Linked DNA regions of Schizosaccharomyces pombe. The gene in region 1 interacts genetically with each later gene. Each region holds a gene or a part of one and is shown on either strand. Other genes may lie near its edges.

Region 1 (8,398 bases):
CAAATGTATATTAAAATAAAGGAACTTGGCATGAATAAAAATACAATTTTAATAGGACATGGTTTAGAAAACGATTTGAATGCGATGAGGCTTATTCACAAACGTGTCATAGATACTGCTCTTCTATTTACGCATGCCAGAGGCCCGCCGTTTAGATATTCCTTAAAATATTTGACTAAAAAATATCTGGGAACAACAATACAAACTTCTACACACGATAGCGAAGAAGACGCTGTTTCAGCATTACAACTTGTCTTTTATAAGACAAAATCAAATGAAAGTCAAAACTAAGAGTAATAATGTTTTCAAATTCAAGAGATAGATCATATCACAAAGTAATTTTGTTGGATATATAGATTTCTGATACTAAGCATAATGAGAGGAGAGAGATAGTAATTGTAAACCCAATAAGGAAAGGGTAGGGAAGAATTTTGTAAATCCTTCTACCAAAATGAATACTTCATTCTCATCATTATTCCTCCACCAACTAAACCACATATTAGTAAAATGACAATTATTGACACAATTTAGAAGTATAGAAAAATGCTGCAAACCATAGCTGCTTATCGATTCTTCAGTCATTAACTTACGTGTCTTCCATGTTTGGAATTGAGGAATTCATTACGCTCCTTCCCCCAACAGTAAATATAGTAAGCTATTCCAAACGGAATTGCTACGTATAGACCTTCAGTCATGACGCGACGAAACATATTTTGCGTAGAAGTTTTGAAGAAGCCGGCCATTGGTCTCTGTTGAAATGGGGAAAGGGAATATGTTATGATTCCTTTTTGTTTAGGTCCACCTCTTATTAAAGTAAGTAAAAATGTATCAAATTGTTATAGCACTTACAGATGGCCCCACCATCCTCTATTCATGTGTTAGTATAAATAAAAACGTTCAATGATATTCTCAGCAGCTATTTGAATGTATATAACTTCGCTGACGAAAATGGCTTTACGAAATAAACACCAATTGTGTCCACCGTCTCACGCTATAAGCGTCAAAGAAAAGTCATATAACCCATTATAAACAGAAACTGCTTTAAGTTGCACTTACAAATAAGTTTTTCCTCCAGCAGCACCACCCATTTTGTTAAAACAATAATATATTGATGATTGCCGTTACAAAGTCAGATGTTTGTTAAGGGTAAGTGTGCGGGTCTGCTAGACCAATAATAATTCAGACGTTTACAAATTCTTGGTTTTTTATTCAAGATTTTTATTTAGTTTTACTATTAAAATTCTAAATAATAAGATCATGTATTTATTAATCATGAATATAGATTTTCCTAGAGGTTGCAGTTAAGTCATACTTAGTCTTGCTCAAACGGACTTCCCTTTCAGTTTGGTCTTTTAGTCCAGCGCTCAACGTACTATTAAAGAGATGGCTGTAGTACTGGAGAGAGTTGCACGTTATGCAATACCAATAGGTATTGGATTTACTCTATTACAATCTTCGATTTACGATGTACCGGGGGGAAAAAGAGCAGTTTTGTTTGACCGTCTGTCGGGTGTGCAGAAACAGGTTGTTCAGGAGGGCACACACTTTTTGATTCCATGGTTACAAAAGGCAATTGTTTATGATGTACGCACACGTCCACGAAATATCGCAACTACTACGGGTAGTAAAGATTTACAGATGGTTTCTTTAACATTGCGTGTATTACACCGTCCCGAAGTTGGAATGCTTCCTCAAATTTACCAAAATTTAGGCTTAGATTATGATGAGCGTGTCTTACCTTCTATTGGAAACGAAATTTTAAAATCCGTAGTTGCTCAGTTTGATGCAGCAGAGCTCATTACTCAAAGAGAAGTAGTTTCTGCCAAAATTCGCCAAGAACTAGTTCAACGAGCTACCGAATTTGGAATTCGGTTGGAAGATGTATCCATTACTCATATGACTTTTGGAAAAGAATTTACGAAAGCCGTAGAGAGAAAACAAATTGCTCAACAAGAAGCCGAGCGTGCTAGATTTTTAGTAGAACAATCCGAACAAGAGCGACAAGCTAATGTTATTCGCGCTGAGGGTGAAGCAGAAGCGGCTGATATTGTTTCCAAAGCACTTGATAAAGCCGGTGGCGCTTTAATCCAAATTCGTCGTCTCGAGACAAGTAAAGAGGTGGCTACTGCACTTGCTAATAAAGGTGCACAGGTCACTTATCTTCCCTTTGGAGCTGGTTCTAATGCCCAAAGTTCCAGTGGTTCTGGGTTGCTTCTTAATGTAAATCCTTAATTCATTCCATGTATCTGCTTCTAGCAGCAAATTCATAAGGTTTATTCGAGCTCCCCTAAACATATCAGCTTTATCTTATTATCCCTTTAAAATTAAAGAGATGTTATATAAAAGTTGTACTTTTCCACGCATTATGATTTTGACAAATTTGGGTTCTTAACGAAAATAAATATTTCCAAATTTTTTTATTTCAGAACTCAAAATTATGATTTGTCACCTTATTTTTAAAACGACAATTATTTTGGGTTTTGTGCTGATGAAATGGCTATATTAATGCTGCTAAAATTAGGGTTGATTGTTTATGTAGAGTTTTTTTAGCATAATGAAATAAACAAATATGCTGTACTGTTGGTAATTTTATTGACTTTAGATATTACTTTTAAAGTAAACAGACAAATATGGGTATCGCATAAATTCGTGAAGATTCGTTAAAAACGCCTTTTTTCCCTCGAGAATTTTTAATCAAACGGAATCCTACTTCCATTATTTTTGGCAGCAGAGATCGCACTTGGTATCTTGATGCCACAACAGTCAGCATAATGAGAATGAACATGTGTCACCTCAGAATCATCACCGTCTTGGGGAGCAGGAGACATCCCAGGTGAAGCTGGGATTAAATGGCCAAAAAGATAGTGCTGCATTATAGGAAGTTTACCCAAAACTTCTGCTCTATACATTTTTATCATGCCTTCGTTGACTTTAGACCAAGTCTTTACGGCAGAAATATCGTCAATCATTGGAGAATGGAAACGTAGTGAAACAGAAGGCTTCAACTTATTTAAAAAGTAAACATAACCTAAGTACATATAATCAGCGCGACACATCTCCAAAATTTCTGGATCTCTAACATGTTTGGGACGCAAATATTTATGATTAACCAACTGAGCTGCACCAAACAAAAAAGGGAGGAAATGAAAATCATCTAATCCCCATACACCATGAGATCCTGCTGGTTCGAGAGTATAAAAAATTTGCAAAGACCTCATCAATTCAACATACTTAACAAAAACTCGAACGACCAATGCTGGATAATCATTTTTAGTAAAAATGCCTAGTTGCTTTAAAATTAGTAACCATGACATAAAGTAAAGTTCATGACCACTTCCATAATCTATTCGCTTTCTGTTTCCAAAGCTTTCATAAAAATATCGACCTGCCTCCATCGCCGCATTATGCTCAATTCCAAATACTTGGTGCAACTTTGGTGTTTCAATGTATACCTGATCGTAAAATGATTGAAATGCAGGATTGCCAAACCTCGACCCCATATTATCAATTGCAGGATTTTCCTGTTTAATTTCTCCAACTCGATCTAGTATATTTAATACATGCTCTATTGATGAGCTTTGCGGAATTGAAGCTGAAATAGGCTTGTCTTTCACAGCTTCGTCAAGATCACAAATAAACGAATCAATTAACTTATAAGCATCTCCTTCTTTAAATAATTTTAAGTCTTCATTGTCTAAAATTCGTCGGACAGGAACGAAACACCGGTTTTGCTCTTCTCTAGAAAGCATGTTGGCATAACTTGATCGGTTAAGACAAGATTAACAAAAGCCTTAAAAATTATACAGTTGGACGCTCTTCAATATTCCTTATGTTGTTATTTGTTATGTCAGTCGTCAGTACGTTACATTTCATTATTGTAATTAGCTATAATCAGTGAGAACATTTTTTAAAGAAAGAAATGTAGAAATTTTTTTTTTTTTTTTCAAAATTGTTTTAAGGAAATAATTTCGACTACTAAAGTTATTTTTCATACCAATGTGTTCTTTTATTCTATGTGTAAACAGATACAGTGTAATAAGCGTTTATTAATTGCTTGATATACAACAACATATTTATGATTCACATGAAGTGTACATGTCATTAATTCTAGCCATCGACAAATATTTAAAAATATAAAAAGGAAGGGCCAAAGATGGAGGTATTGTAATAGTACTAGACATGGGAAGCTAATTGATATGAAGGAGATAGCCGGCATAAACAAATAAGTGCTCCGCTTTTTGAAAATAGTTAAATAAACGCGGATTGTTTAATGATTTTATCGCAAGAAAAAAGCACCGACCTAATTGTCTCATACCGGAACATTAAAGGATAGAATATACATGAGAGAAAATGTATTCCTTGTTAAAAAAGCCTGAAGTAAACATTAAATGATTAAACGTTTCTTAAGAAAAGAGAGGTACTGATATCCAAGTTAAAAATAGAGACTCATAAATGCTTGCAGCCATTTTGAAAATGCTTGTTTACAGCTTAAACTCTCAATCCAACCAACCTAAAAATATAACCCGAGTAAAAATAAGTTCTAATAATCTCATTTTCCTAGACGTTTCCTAAGTGCTCGTTGTCGGCGTAAGCGCTTTTTGAACTTATGTTTATTCATTTTCAATTTTCTTTTTCGTTTGACACTGGTCAAATCTAAAGGTGTAATAGAAATCAGCTTATCACATATTTGTTCCCATACTTGAGTAGATATACGAGCGGGTTGAGTTTGAGTTACGGATCCAGATGCAGAGAATGATTGAGCATACAAATAGCCATCCTCTAAAGATAACACATATTCCTGGGGTTGATCTTCCTCATCCTGCGATTGCGAAACTTGTGTTTTGGACTCAACTTTAGGCACACATATTTGATTAGCTGACAAAGGTCGATATCCAGCAAAGAAATTTGCTTTTGCGATTTCTACGCAATGAAGTTAGAAATAGAAGTATTTAATTTACTTACGACGATATGAAACGTGTGAAGTTGTAGGAACCGTTGGTAGGTTATATTTCGACCCAACTTCGGGAGAAGCTGAAACATGCCAAATCGGTATGGGACTACGCAGTGAAAGGCCGTTTAAACCTTTTAATATTGTGGAAAGCGCACCTCTTCGTAACATGGGTGACCAAGGCGAAAAATGTGTTGTACTCTTTGCACTGCGGGAAGGTAAGAATTGGTATGCTTATGCTAAACACTTACAAAGAGGAAGGGTGGTGCACATTTGATATTAATTCAGAAGAATGTTGTATTTAAATATATATGTGATGTTAAATAAAATTAATGCTAAATGAAATACAAAATTGTCCTTATGTATATACAGATGTTAGGTACGTTTTCGCTTCGAGAGTGGGCTGTCAGAATGAAGTCCACCGAGACGATGCAAATTTTTTTGCAAGATTGGGTTTTTAGGATCATACCAAGCAGATCCTTCTTTTGTAGTATCTTCATTTGCCAAATGCGTCCAGCGTGTTTGGCCTGCCTTCGCAAAAAGATCTCCCCTAATTTGCATAGGTTTGGGTAATAAATCTTTATTAAGAACTTCCCCTTCTGTGGCTTCTGAATAATCTCTTTTACTCACAATATCTTCGTTTTGATAGAATGCACCCTTATGATAGTACTTTTGTAAGAACTGCATAGATGACTTTTTCTTTCCTCTCCGACTTGCTTCAGCGTCCTTCAAATCTTGGGCTTCGCGTTCCTCAGAATTCATTAATCTTCTTTCTTCAATTGCCATCTTTTCCCTTTCTAATTCCAGTGACTTTTCCTTGTCTCTCTTTTTCCTAAGCAAATGCCTTAATTTCCATAATTCATATTCACTTTGCGGATCAATTCCATCGGTATCATCGATATCATTTAATAATTCATTATTGTTTTTAGTTTCTTTCAATAGTAATTCCCGTTTTATAGTCTCTTCTAATATTTTTTGTGAAGTCACTTTTTTAAGCACCTCAGTATCTTCTTCATTGGCTTTTGCCCGATTTTTGATGACTTTACTAGTAAATTTTGGCGGAAGAAGAAGTGTCCGCCTTCTCAGCTCCATCTCATATTCCGAATCAGAAGAGTCTTCTTCTTCAGAACTAGATGCTGCAGAGTTAGATCCCCCTTCTGCCGATGATGCGTCAGTCTCATATTCTGAAGCAGAGTTATCAATTGTTTGGACTGGGTTAATGTTTTGGAAATTAGAAGACGTTTTGGTTTCAGATATTCCTTCTTTCTCGAATACTGGAGTAATAACATGTCTTGATGAAGAAATCGAGTTTTCTTGATCATGTGAATCGGAAACTTCTTCATAATCACTTTCAGAAGAAGACTCACTTTCCAGCCCTTCCAATCTACCAGAGCGATATCTTGAAATAGGTTTATGGGGTATCAACGGTGTATCTATTGGCATCTTGACAAACGCTTTTTATTAAATTGGTTGGCAAATTTCAATCAACCGGTAAAACAATATAAATATGAATTGGAAATTATATATCTATTATCTACCACCCAAGATAAAACTGTATATCTGATATAATAGATTGTATGTATGCAATTTGTGGTACGGTGCCACTTACAAAGAGGTTTCGGGGCACTTACCAATGCGAGAACAAATATCACAAGCACACATTCTAGTCAAATGAACGAGAATCCTGGCATAATTTATATTTAGCTGAAAGTTTGTAAAATTGAATTGCCTTTTGTAAAATACATCGTTTCAGTTTATGGTCAATGTAATGTATTTCCAAAAACAACCGTTGTCAACCCTTTGAGACCTTCATAAAAATTATTTAGATGCTACATACAATATATCCTTTGAAAATACCCTCCTATAATTAGTAAAAATGATGTACTTTTCAAGATCCTAAAATTCGTTGAAGTGGTTTTAAAAAATATAGAGTTCTTGACTTGAAATCTGTCAGCATCTCACTTTTTCATACCAAAATAACTTTGAAGAAATAAAACCAAACGTATACTTGTAATTTTGTTATATTGATTATATTTCTCAATTCAATTCACCTTCTAATTCTAAATACAGATAGCGAGCGCTGGCAACTAGCAACAATAGTGAAGTTAAGTTCAACTATCGTAATATAACCATTAATTGAGAGTACATACTTCCCAGAGCTTGATACTACCGTAAAATAGCAAAAATCAGGTGCATATAATTGGTGCGACGTTGAGAAAACAAAAGTACGAACGAAATATTCATCGAAACTCTCTACATTTTCTTTCCGAAAAAAACTTATTAGTTTTACATTCTCTTTCTAAACCACGGAGTACAGTCTCTAGAAGTTAATAGTTGCTCATTTGTCGTCTTCTGATTTCACGATGTTGTTCTCTTTTCGAGCGATAGTTCTTTTTTATTGTTGTATGCTAACATTTGCTGGCATTGGATTTTTATGGAATCCCAAGTTTGTAGTAGAAAGTGGACTGGTCGCGTTAATTGGTGCTTCTATGGAAGTTGTATGTGATTATAACTTTATTGTTTTAGTAGATAGTATTTTTTTTTTTTTTTTAATTTCTTGATTAATGTTTGAAGTGATATCTGACCATTATAATTTAGAAACCATTGATAGTAACACAAGACAACTTATCGACTCTTGCATTGTCCGGCTTGGTATTTTTGATTCTTGGAATGATTTATACTATCTCATTGTTACAAAGCAATTTCCTGTTCTTCAGTGGAATTACTCCAATTCGTGCTATATTTGACTTTATCCTTACCGGCTTTATTTACCTCAAAAAAGAGCATATCGCTAGCAACAGCCTTACTTTTACTTTTGCATTTTGCGATTTGATGTGGCAGTTTTGGATGTTTGCAGCAATGAGCGAAGAGAGGGCTAAATACTTGAAAAACCAAAAAAAGGCCGAAGAATTAGCCGCTAGAAAAGCACGTGAAGTTGAAGAATCTTAAAAAAAAAAACCAAGTGACTGGCATCTAGTATTCTTCACTTGTTGTTTATTTGTTGTAAAAGCTATTATTATCGTTATTGGATTTTCAACATCAATCGCTTACATTCTAGGTTTAAAATCAAATATGAATACATTAGTCAAAGGTTTGTATAAAATATTCTTTAATTAATCCTTTACAATGTTAGCATTAGAAATGAGTGTTTAGAAAGTTCAAATGGCTGATCAGCTTTATCACTAGCTATAAATATAATGAAGCTAATTTCTTAAAACACTTAAATAATTTTCGCCGAAGATGACTTCAGCATAATCTTTTGCTTTTGGTGACGGATTGTCTTCGTAACAACGATAAAGAATATCTTTATACAGTAAGAATTCCTCGTTAGACATTATCTTTTTTAAGTGAGGAGCATTTTTCAGAATTGCTAATTTCACATTCCAATGTAAATAATTTTCATCAAGGGCATTTGACAAGTAAGTTAGCAACATCTCATTACAATTCTTA
Region 2 (4,999 bases), on another chromosome or scaffold:
TGATATGTCTGAGTTAATTCGTCCTATACCTCCTGTTTTAGATATGAACAAAGTCAATAGTATGATGGAAACCATGACAGGGAAAACTCCTCCAGCTTCATGCGGTTTGACTTCAGAAGATTTGGAAGCTGGTGAGCTTCCTCCTGTTGATGTTTTAACGTTTAAAAAGAGTGGGAAGCCTTATTATTTTGCCTTTGGGGGCTGTCATCGACTACGTGCTCACGATGAAGCAGGGCGCAAAAAGGTTCGCTGCAAATTGGTAAATTGCTCCCCTAACACTCTACGCCTGTATCTGGGTGCTTCTGCCAATAAATTTTTGGATAGTGATTAGATTTAACTTAGATTTTTTCACAAGTTTTTTTAGGATTATCGATATTCCATTGAACCTGTTTTATTCCCTTCCTGCACCAACATTTATGGCGTTAATAATCATCTCTACCGGCGGTACATTATTTTTAAAGGTTTTTGTTTTACATTAGTTATGGGGTTTTTTTTTAATGTCTAATATAACCCAATTATATTAAAAAAGTTTCTTATAAAAAAGCATCATTCATTTGGTTGCTTTACCTAAAAAAAACAAACACAAAAAGGTATTATATCGTAAACAAACAACTTATAGCGTTTGGGAGTATAGCGTTCTTTATATTTACATAGTATCAAAGTATAGATATCAGGGGCCATATAATATGTGGTTCATTAATCAAGGTCATAATTACCTTCTTTTAAAAGAGCGAAAAATTAAAGATTAAAAAAAAAAAGCCTTTAAGCTCCCTAAAAAAGTCGTTAACATTAAGAAACTCGTATGATGTTTGGGAAACTTTGTAAAAGATAAAACCTTTTTAAGAATAATCGGAAAATTTAGTGCCTCTATTCTGGCATTTTTCGTAAATTGCTAACGCAATCATAAGCCATGCTATCAATAAGTTCCTTATTTAATCGCTTGTGCTTACTCAACTCCACCGACCTTTCTATAATCATTGATAATTGAGAAGCTGAGATTTCTGTGCTGAGTCTAAGTGGATGAGCATTATTGGTGTGCCCAGAAACAGGTAACGGCTTTTTGGCCAAAGGTGTCAAATAGGATGGCAAAGGGTTTAAAAAGGGATGAACCAGCAATTCCGGTATTGTAAGTCTCTTCCGTTGATCCCTTTCCAGGCATCTTTTCATAACATCCATTAGATCAGGCCCGACAGTTACACCTGGCAACGATCCCTCTTTCTCCTGGACAGCATTAGCAGGTAAGGCAACTTCGGGGAAATGAATGTGATATTGTTCATTAGGGATAGCTGCTATAGCTTGGATCATTTTTAGATGAGCAAACGGGGCCCTCCCATACACCATCTGATATAATATACATCCCAAACTCCACACGTCGCTGGGCCTGCCCAACTTTACGAGTTTCACGCCAGAGTTTGTGTGAGCATTCATGTCTGTCAAAGCTTCAGGTGCCATATAATTAATAGTACCGATGTGGGAATCACGATGGATATTAGTGGTGTCATTACCAATTGCTTTGGCAATGCCAAAATCAATCAGCTTCAAATTCCCTTCTACAAGCAGGAAATTGGCCGGCTTCAAATCCGAATGCACTATATTTTGATCATGAACTACCTGGACCGCCTCTAGCATTTGCTCCCAATACATTCTGATGAAATTAAGATTAATGGGTTTCTTCATGTTTTTCATTAAAAGGTTTGCTAAATCCGTTTCTCCGCATTCCATCACCATATTGAGTTGCCCTAAAGTATCATTAACTTCGGCAGCATATAATTTAATTATGCGATCATTGCCTGAAAGCTTTCTTAATAATGCAATTTCGTTCTTGTATCCTTGTATAGTAGTTTGGTCTGCATTAATAAAGTTCACCTCTTTCAAAGCGTATAAACGACTGTTATCGGGGGAAAATATGCGATATACCATACTACTTCCACCCTTTCCAACAACTCCTAATTTGATAAATTGTAGATTGGCAACAGTAACAACGTCCTGCTGACGCTTGGGTATGGGAGTAGCTTGACTGTTATCAAATAACGGAGCCACCTTTGGAGAAAGAGCATGAGATTCATATGGTTGAGAAGCAGAACGCTGAGGCTCTTGGAAAACGGTGACTGGACGAGAATGAAGTTCACTAGCTCTTCTTTCAACATCGTGATCAAACTGCACCCTAGGAGAAAAAGAGCTCTCAAACTGAGAAGGATGAAAAGAAGGTTTGGGATGCTCCTGGGATGTTTGCAAAGGAGTGTTATGCAGCTGCAGAGGTTTTAAAGTTGTTGCAGCAACAGAGTTGGAAGCTGGTGATACTTCTCGAGATTTCATTTCAATATCCTCATCTGCTTCTGTAGAGTTTTTGGTATCGGAAGTCTTCGAGGGATCCGTCAACGTGTACTCAGCACGCTTTGGAGGGCCTAATCCAATTCTGCCGATTCTTCGTCGTCTTGAAATTGATAAAGAACCGGGGGTTTTGTTTACACTTTTAGGTAACAAATCATGCTCCGAATTAGAATTGAGATCATTCACTCCTGCACTGAGTGAAACTTCACTGTGAGACGCATTAGTAGAGGGCAAGGGTGTTATTAAATGCTCGAAATGGTGCATTGACTGATATGCTGGAGTATTCACTTCCTTCAAAGCAGAATTTTGTCCTCCATTTCCTTGCAAATCAAAATTTTTAGTACGAGGATGTGAGACCAATCTCTCTAAAGCAGTTGCACCGCTTGACTGCCTACGCAACGTATCCCCAGTAACGGTGCCATCAGAATGGCTACTCTTGGAAGAGAAAGTGTCATTTTTGAAGTATAATTCTGGATCCTGAAGCTCTTCGAGAAAAGAAAGCGAGTCTTCATCTAAGGAAGAATCTGACACCAAGTCCGCGATATTAGTCACAGGAGGATTGCGCTTAGACATAAACACAGTTACTAAAAAACGAGCATTCCAAACCGAATTTCCAACTGTTTGTTAAGCGTTAATCAATAAATTTTTACTTCGTTATAAGAATAGCTAGAAAAGACGAACAGCAGAGCAACCATTAGTGTGCACATTTCAAAATGTTATGTTACTACAAAGATCACCCTCTAACGCAATGCTAGCTACTTCAGTGTATATCATTATTTTACGAGTTTCGCATGGTTATGAAAACGAAAATTCTGAGTAAGAATGGCATAAGATCATTATTAGACTAGTCATGAAAGAAAAAGAAGAGTTGTGAAAGTAAAAAGTTTTTTCACCTAGGTCGCCTTGCCCTTACTATATCTGTGATTGAGGCCATTTCCATCCAGCCGCTAACAGCTTCCTGCGAATCTTTTTGTGGTGAATATGGTTCTGCTCTTGGAATTGGAACAAAAGACTTCTAGGACTGATCTGATGCCATTGGGCGGCCTTGATCTTATGGAAACAAGAGTCTTCTCTTTCAGGATAAACAACACCTAAAGTAGATATTACACGGTGTTGACGAGCAAATGCTTGTATTTGCAAATCAAAATCCAACGATATGCAGGAAGGACAGACAAATGAATCGCAAACCAAACAACTTCTTAAATCTATGCAATAACGACAAATCGGCTTCTTCCATTCCCTTAAGCAATAGATACAAGCAGGGACTTTTTGCAAAGAAAAAAGATCGGCAAGCTCAGTTTCCTGACCTGCAATTTTGCATGCATTCAAAGGGCAACGTGAAATATCGCATTCGACTGGGTTACCATGAGTAGTTGGTAAAGCGTCTAAAGCATTTTGAAATAAAATTACTCGACTATGCCAATTGCTTGTTAATGTGTCATCCTCAGAGCCATCAAGCAAAACAGGTTTTAGTAATTCTAATCCTTTAACACCAAGGACGTATAGATTTTCCAATGAAAATGTCCTGCTTTTAGAATTTTGTAGAAACTCAATGAGAGATAGAGAGCAAACACCAACACACCATCTTATACTCAAGGTTTTAACGGTAGGAATGTTCAGCAAGATATTCGTTACACTAGAAATGGTAACACCTGTTCCGTCTAAAGCAATGGTCTGAAGTCCCTGGAATTTGGCAAGCATTGACCAGACAAATGAATCGCGAAGTTGGAGTTTTAAAATTGGTGGGTTTCCGTAGAGATCAACTTCAGTAGCCCATTCTAAATCACTGGCAACAGGAACTGTACGTTGATAAGGTTGTAAATTAAGAAAATTGTTATTAAAACAGCATTCATCGACAGCTGATTTACGAAGCCAATAGTAAAACTGCCTACTTGAATGCATCAGGCGTAATATATCGAATGCATCAAGATAATTAATGATCAAGGACCATATGTCTCTGTTCAAGAGAAATAAATTGGAATTTTTTAACACAGGTTGAATTGGATCTTCCTCATGATTCCGGTTTGACAAAGAAAGGGTTGTGAGAGCTTCAGCTGTAAAATCCACTTCGCACTGATTACTCGACCAATGTGTCGGCCTCATAAAGTCCCGAAATACTTTATAAATTGTTATTTACACAATTTCTTTTAAGATAATGCAATTTTCGTAGCTTGTTTGCGATTCAGCAACTCTTTTGCTAACGATTTTTTCAAAAGAGAACAATTTATGCCGAGGAATGTTAAGAAACGTAAAGAATGTGTTTTTTTAGATTCAAAGATTCCGTTTTCTTGGTTGGAGATAATCTTATTCGGGAAAAATCAATAATGAACCTCGTGATAATTATAATTGACAAATACTTTTTGTTTTCAAGTGTTGACGTTAATGAGCTCCTGTTGATATATATAAAACAAGAAATTCTCTAATATAGTCCCAAAAAAAATCCCAAAATCATAGAATTGGGGAAGTGGTTTATTTTTTCAACGAAATGGAGTAGGTTAGGGTGTTTTAGGAAAAGAGGATTGCTAACAACATCTTCATTCTCTAGAATTATTCCCAAACTCAACTGTTATATTGATTAAAATAAATTCTTTTAAAGACAAGAATGCGTTTTGCTTTGACTTGCTGATTGCTGTAGCTATTCACACTTAAAGGCGCATTGGGTTTCTTG
Region 3 (3,762 bases), on another chromosome or scaffold:
CGGACTAACTTCAATGGCAATATTGGTGGTTGGTGAAATGGGTGGGAGGATAAAAAACTCAATGTCTTCTTTTAACAGAATTATACCACATTTTCCAGGAAAAGAAGGTGGAGGTGGTGATAATGCAATTTCATCATTAGCGGTACGATTTTCGGCCATTTGAAAATAATTTAATATGTACTGAAGTAATGAAGGATCAAAGTCAGCTGTTTGAAATATTAATGGCCTTTGAGTCAGTTGGCATTCTTGAATCTCATAATCCAACAACAGGCCTCTAGGAAATAAACACATCAAGATGGATTCCGGGAGGCCTAAAAGCTGATCTCTACTCAATTCAAATACTGTGTCACGATCGCATAATTGAATAATAATAGGATCTCCTTCATAATTGAAATCGGGATTGGCTGCTACAGTAGGTATTTCCTGAGCCTGAGTTATCACAGACATGAAGGCACAAAAATTCGAGTGTTTAAAAGAGAAGTTTCAATAAAATAAATTATTTTTTAATCAAGGGTAATGATAAATAAAGATACAATCATATATGCGAATGCAACGTACTTATAGGTACTATGAAAGCGGTGCCTTTGATATCGATGCCTACGCAACCTGCACAGCACAACGTTATATGACCATACATACTCCACTATATAACGCATTTTTCTTAGTGTATAATAAAGTTCGTTAAATCATTAAGATTACTGTAGAACAGGAGTAGCACCAACTTTGGGAGGTAAAACCAAAGGTTGATTGCGATGCCAAAAATTTAAAAGTAGAGAGGAAATCTTAGCGGGAACATCTTCATGAACAAAATGACCAGTTTCAGGAAGAATCTCAAGTTGATATTTTCCTTGCATTTGTCCAATTGTTAACGTTTTATCTAGACGATCGGTACCAGCGACAATAAGCATCCTTCCATATGGTGCTCTTAGGAATTTGTCACTTAAACCCTTAAACCAGTCCATCCAATACGGCGATGTTTTGTAAAGATCGGTTCGCCAAACGAATGTGCCATCTTCCTGCTGAACGAGAAGTGAAGGAACTGTAATACAGGCCGATAATCTGTTTCTAGTAACTAAAGTCTTGATATGCCAAGAAATTGCATCATCAATTGATTTAAAGCTAGTAGGACGATTAGAGAGGTACGTTTTCATAAAACCCAATGCTTCCATCGCAGTCCCTTCAACCACATCAATGACAACAAGTCCAGAAGTATTGGGAATAGTTTTTTGAAAAGCACAGTAAGCACAAATGGCACCTCCTAAGCTATGTCCGACCAAAATGATTTTTTCATCAAGCTCAAACATACGTTGAACATAGGAGACTGCGTGAGTAAAGTCCTTAGATAATGTTTCCAAGCTCATATCTGATTCGGGTTCTAACGTTGTTTCTCCATGAGCTCGAAGGTCCAACGCTAAAAAACCAACCTTATTATCTGAATTACTCAAGAGCTCTTGTGTAACCGGTGCAAATGACATGGCACTTGAGCCAGCACCGTGTTGCAAAACAAGTAAGCAACCATCTGGTTGTGGAAGTGTTAAGTACCCATTGATAGTCCCATTCAAAGCCCCACTTTCACCAGGAATTGTTAACTTTTCATCAAAGTAATTTCGCCAATCGCTTAAACTCTCTTCATTATTTAACATTAGTTCCTTGGTTTCGGATGATTGCTCAGATTCATTCTCATAGAGTGTTTGACTGAGTTCTTCTTTACGAAATGCCATTATAAAGTATTATAATATCTTTTTTAGCTTACACGCAGCACTATAAATAGTTCACACGAATTCCTCGTTGGTTTTATGAAGATAGAATATACAATCCCAGAAGCAGAAACGGACCTGATTGAAAAAAAAAAAAATTAATTCAATGTAATTCTGAAATCGATAAATTTTAAAACAAACAATGTGTATTCCCCAGGTAGCTAAGTTGAGTAAATAATATGCAGTGGAAGTTTCCTGTACTTACTGCGGATTCCTCAATGCTCAAATGATTTACACGCCTTCCATCGCCTACGTAAAAAAATTAACGACGTAACATTTAAATATGTTACCTCGCTTTACACCAACGCTATTTTTCCTTACAGACAAATGTGACTAAAATACAATGGTAAAAGTAAGATTGAAAATCATAATTAATTTATACTTTTTATGCTAGTATGAGACAAAAATATGAGTAGATGAATGTATTATCTACTTTTGGCAATAAGCTGGTTTTATTTGAGACCTGTCATAGAAGATGATTGGGTAGATTTCTCTTGCAACTGTTTAATTAGTAGTAATCGTCCAGCTGGTAGAGCTACCGACATTGGAGTAAAGCTAGCAAACAGCTTTGGATTAACAAAAGGAAGTTCAAAAGGTGTTATTCTAGAAATATCTCTGTGGTCGTGGATACTGGTCTCTATTTTTGCGGTAGAATCATTATTGGCAGAAAAATCCTCCTCAGTAGTCAGTTGAGTTTCATCTTGATTTCTTTTCTTTAACAAGATTGACTTTTTGTTTCTTAAAACTGACGCTTTACTTGAAAGATTCTGCTCATTTTTCTCTCTGGATTGGGTAAACTTAGATAAAGCACGATCTAAGTTCCTATCCTTAGTCTCTTCCTTGTTTTCAACGTTGCTGTCATTAATAACGTCAAAATATTTCTTGCTGCCAAATACGGGCTTTTTTGATGCTGGACGTTCAGCATTTCTTACATTATTCTTTGATGTGGACATTGTAGATGGTGATTGCACATCCATAACACCAGCATTGGACTTAGTGGCTCTTCCAGTAAATGCAAACTGTGTTCTTCGTTTAAAATTATTTTTCCTCAGACTCTCGTTCTCGGTATCCTTCCTCGTTGATCTGGCATCGATTATTTGTGTTCTGTTACGCGGAGTGCGAAGTGGGGATTTTTCTTTTAGCTGAACACGCCGTTTATCCCTTTTCTCAAAAGAAGAACTCTTTTTCTTTTTCTCTTCCATTGTTTCTTTAATGGAAGAAAGCAATGAATCGAAAGATCGTCCACCAAAAATCAATTCAGAGCCTTCGGATCGTAAAGCTGGTTGGGTAGAAAATTGATGGATATTAAATCTAATGCTTTGGAAATTCATCTCATTTTTTTGAAATAAACTTCGTAAAGATGTAGCTTTTGCTCGTTTAATTAATGAGGCCACCATGTTAGTTAATGGTGGTAGTGAATATAGTTCCAATAATCGAAAAATGAACAGCTGTAGCTGAATACTAACGTACAATCAATTACTCGACTTATTTATAAACACAAAGTAGATTCCAGTAAATCAACATTGGATTTACAAGAAAATAAATGTATTCATATATTTTTTTGTGAAATAAGTAATTAAATTAGCAAGATAATTACCATTAATTGAAAAATTAACTTGAAAAAAAAATACAATGATAAATTAAATAAAATAAACTTGTCTAATAATAATATTACATTAACGAACATTATGGCTTTTCAGGAGAAAACATTCATTGAAAGTATTCAAATGAATAGCCATACAAAATCATAGGGATCACATCTGCAAAATATATATGAGAAAGTAGAACAAAATGCTCCATATGGGAATTATTTTAACAACCATAGAAAAACCGGAATACTAAGCCCAATAGATATAGCTGTGATCTTAAAAATATCCATATTCCTCATTGGGAAAAGCATACCTTCAGTGATCCAGAAGTCATAAATAGAGTTGTAAATATAACCAATGGTATTTCTTTTGATACAGTTGTACAAGTTTTTGAAATTTCCGTAAATCGTGCTAAC

The links. Genes that interact genetically often act in the same process or in processes that back each other up.
Region 2: mutations in ypa2 (region 1) and mph1 together harm fitness more than expected from each alone (negative genetic interaction), as found in Schizosaccharomyces pombe (2 studies listed by BioGRID).
Region 3: mutations in ypa2 (region 1) and SPOM_SPBP4H10.17C together harm fitness more than expected from each alone (negative genetic interaction), as found in Schizosaccharomyces pombe (2 studies listed by BioGRID).

Annotation. Positions count from the first base shown.
Region 1 is NC_003424.3:4,759,800-4,768,197, reverse strand, and holds ypa2 (serine/threonine-protein phosphatase 2A activator 2), read right to left. Parts: upstream 3,771-8,398; 5' UTR 3,750-3,770; coding exon 2,691-3,749; 3' UTR 2,456-2,690; downstream 1-2,455. Other genes in the region: exonuclease Rex3, read left to right, coding at 1-291; qcr8 (ubiquinol-cytochrome-c reductase complex subunit 7), read right to left, coding at 473-487, 591-804, 850-867, 1,057-1,088; prohibitin Phb1, read left to right, coding at 1,384-2,232; cox24 (mitochondrial 37S ribosomal protein mS38 ), read right to left, coding at 4,550-4,920, 4,963-5,119; splicing-associated factor Saf3, read right to left, coding at 5,324-6,391; SPOM_SPAC1782.02C (uncharacterized protein), read left to right, coding at 7,312-7,446, 7,547-7,897; proteasome assembly chaperone Ecm29, read right to left, coding at 8,152-8,398.
Region 2 is NC_003423.3:371,794-376,792, reverse strand, and holds mph1 (dual-specificity protein kinase Mph1), read right to left. Parts: upstream 3,000-4,999; 5' UTR 2,905-2,999; coding exon 868-2,904; 3' UTR 501-867; downstream 1-500. Other genes in the region: srx1 (sulfiredoxin), read left to right, coding at 1-331; F-box protein Pof13, read right to left, coding at 3,244-4,434. UniProt on the Schizosaccharomyces pombe protein: Involved in mitotic spindle assembly checkpoint signaling, a process that delays anaphase until chromosomes are bioriented on the spindle, and in the repair of incorrect mitotic kinetochore-spindle microtubule attachments.
Region 3 is NC_003423.3:2,906,678-2,910,439, forward strand, and holds SPOM_SPBP4H10.17C (carboxyl methyl esterase), read right to left. Parts: upstream 1,944-3,762; 5' UTR 1,722-1,943; coding exon 696-1,721; 3' UTR 501-695; downstream 1-500. Other genes in the region: SPOM_SPBP4H10.16C (phosphatase activator), read right to left, coding at 1-447; SPOM_SPBP4H10.18C (uncharacterized protein), read right to left, coding at 2,210-3,154; SPOM_SPBP4H10.19C (calreticulin/calnexin-like protein), read right to left, coding at 3,565-3,762. UniProt on the Schizosaccharomyces pombe protein: Demethylates proteins that have been reversibly carboxymethylated. Demethylates the phosphatase PP2A catalytic subunit.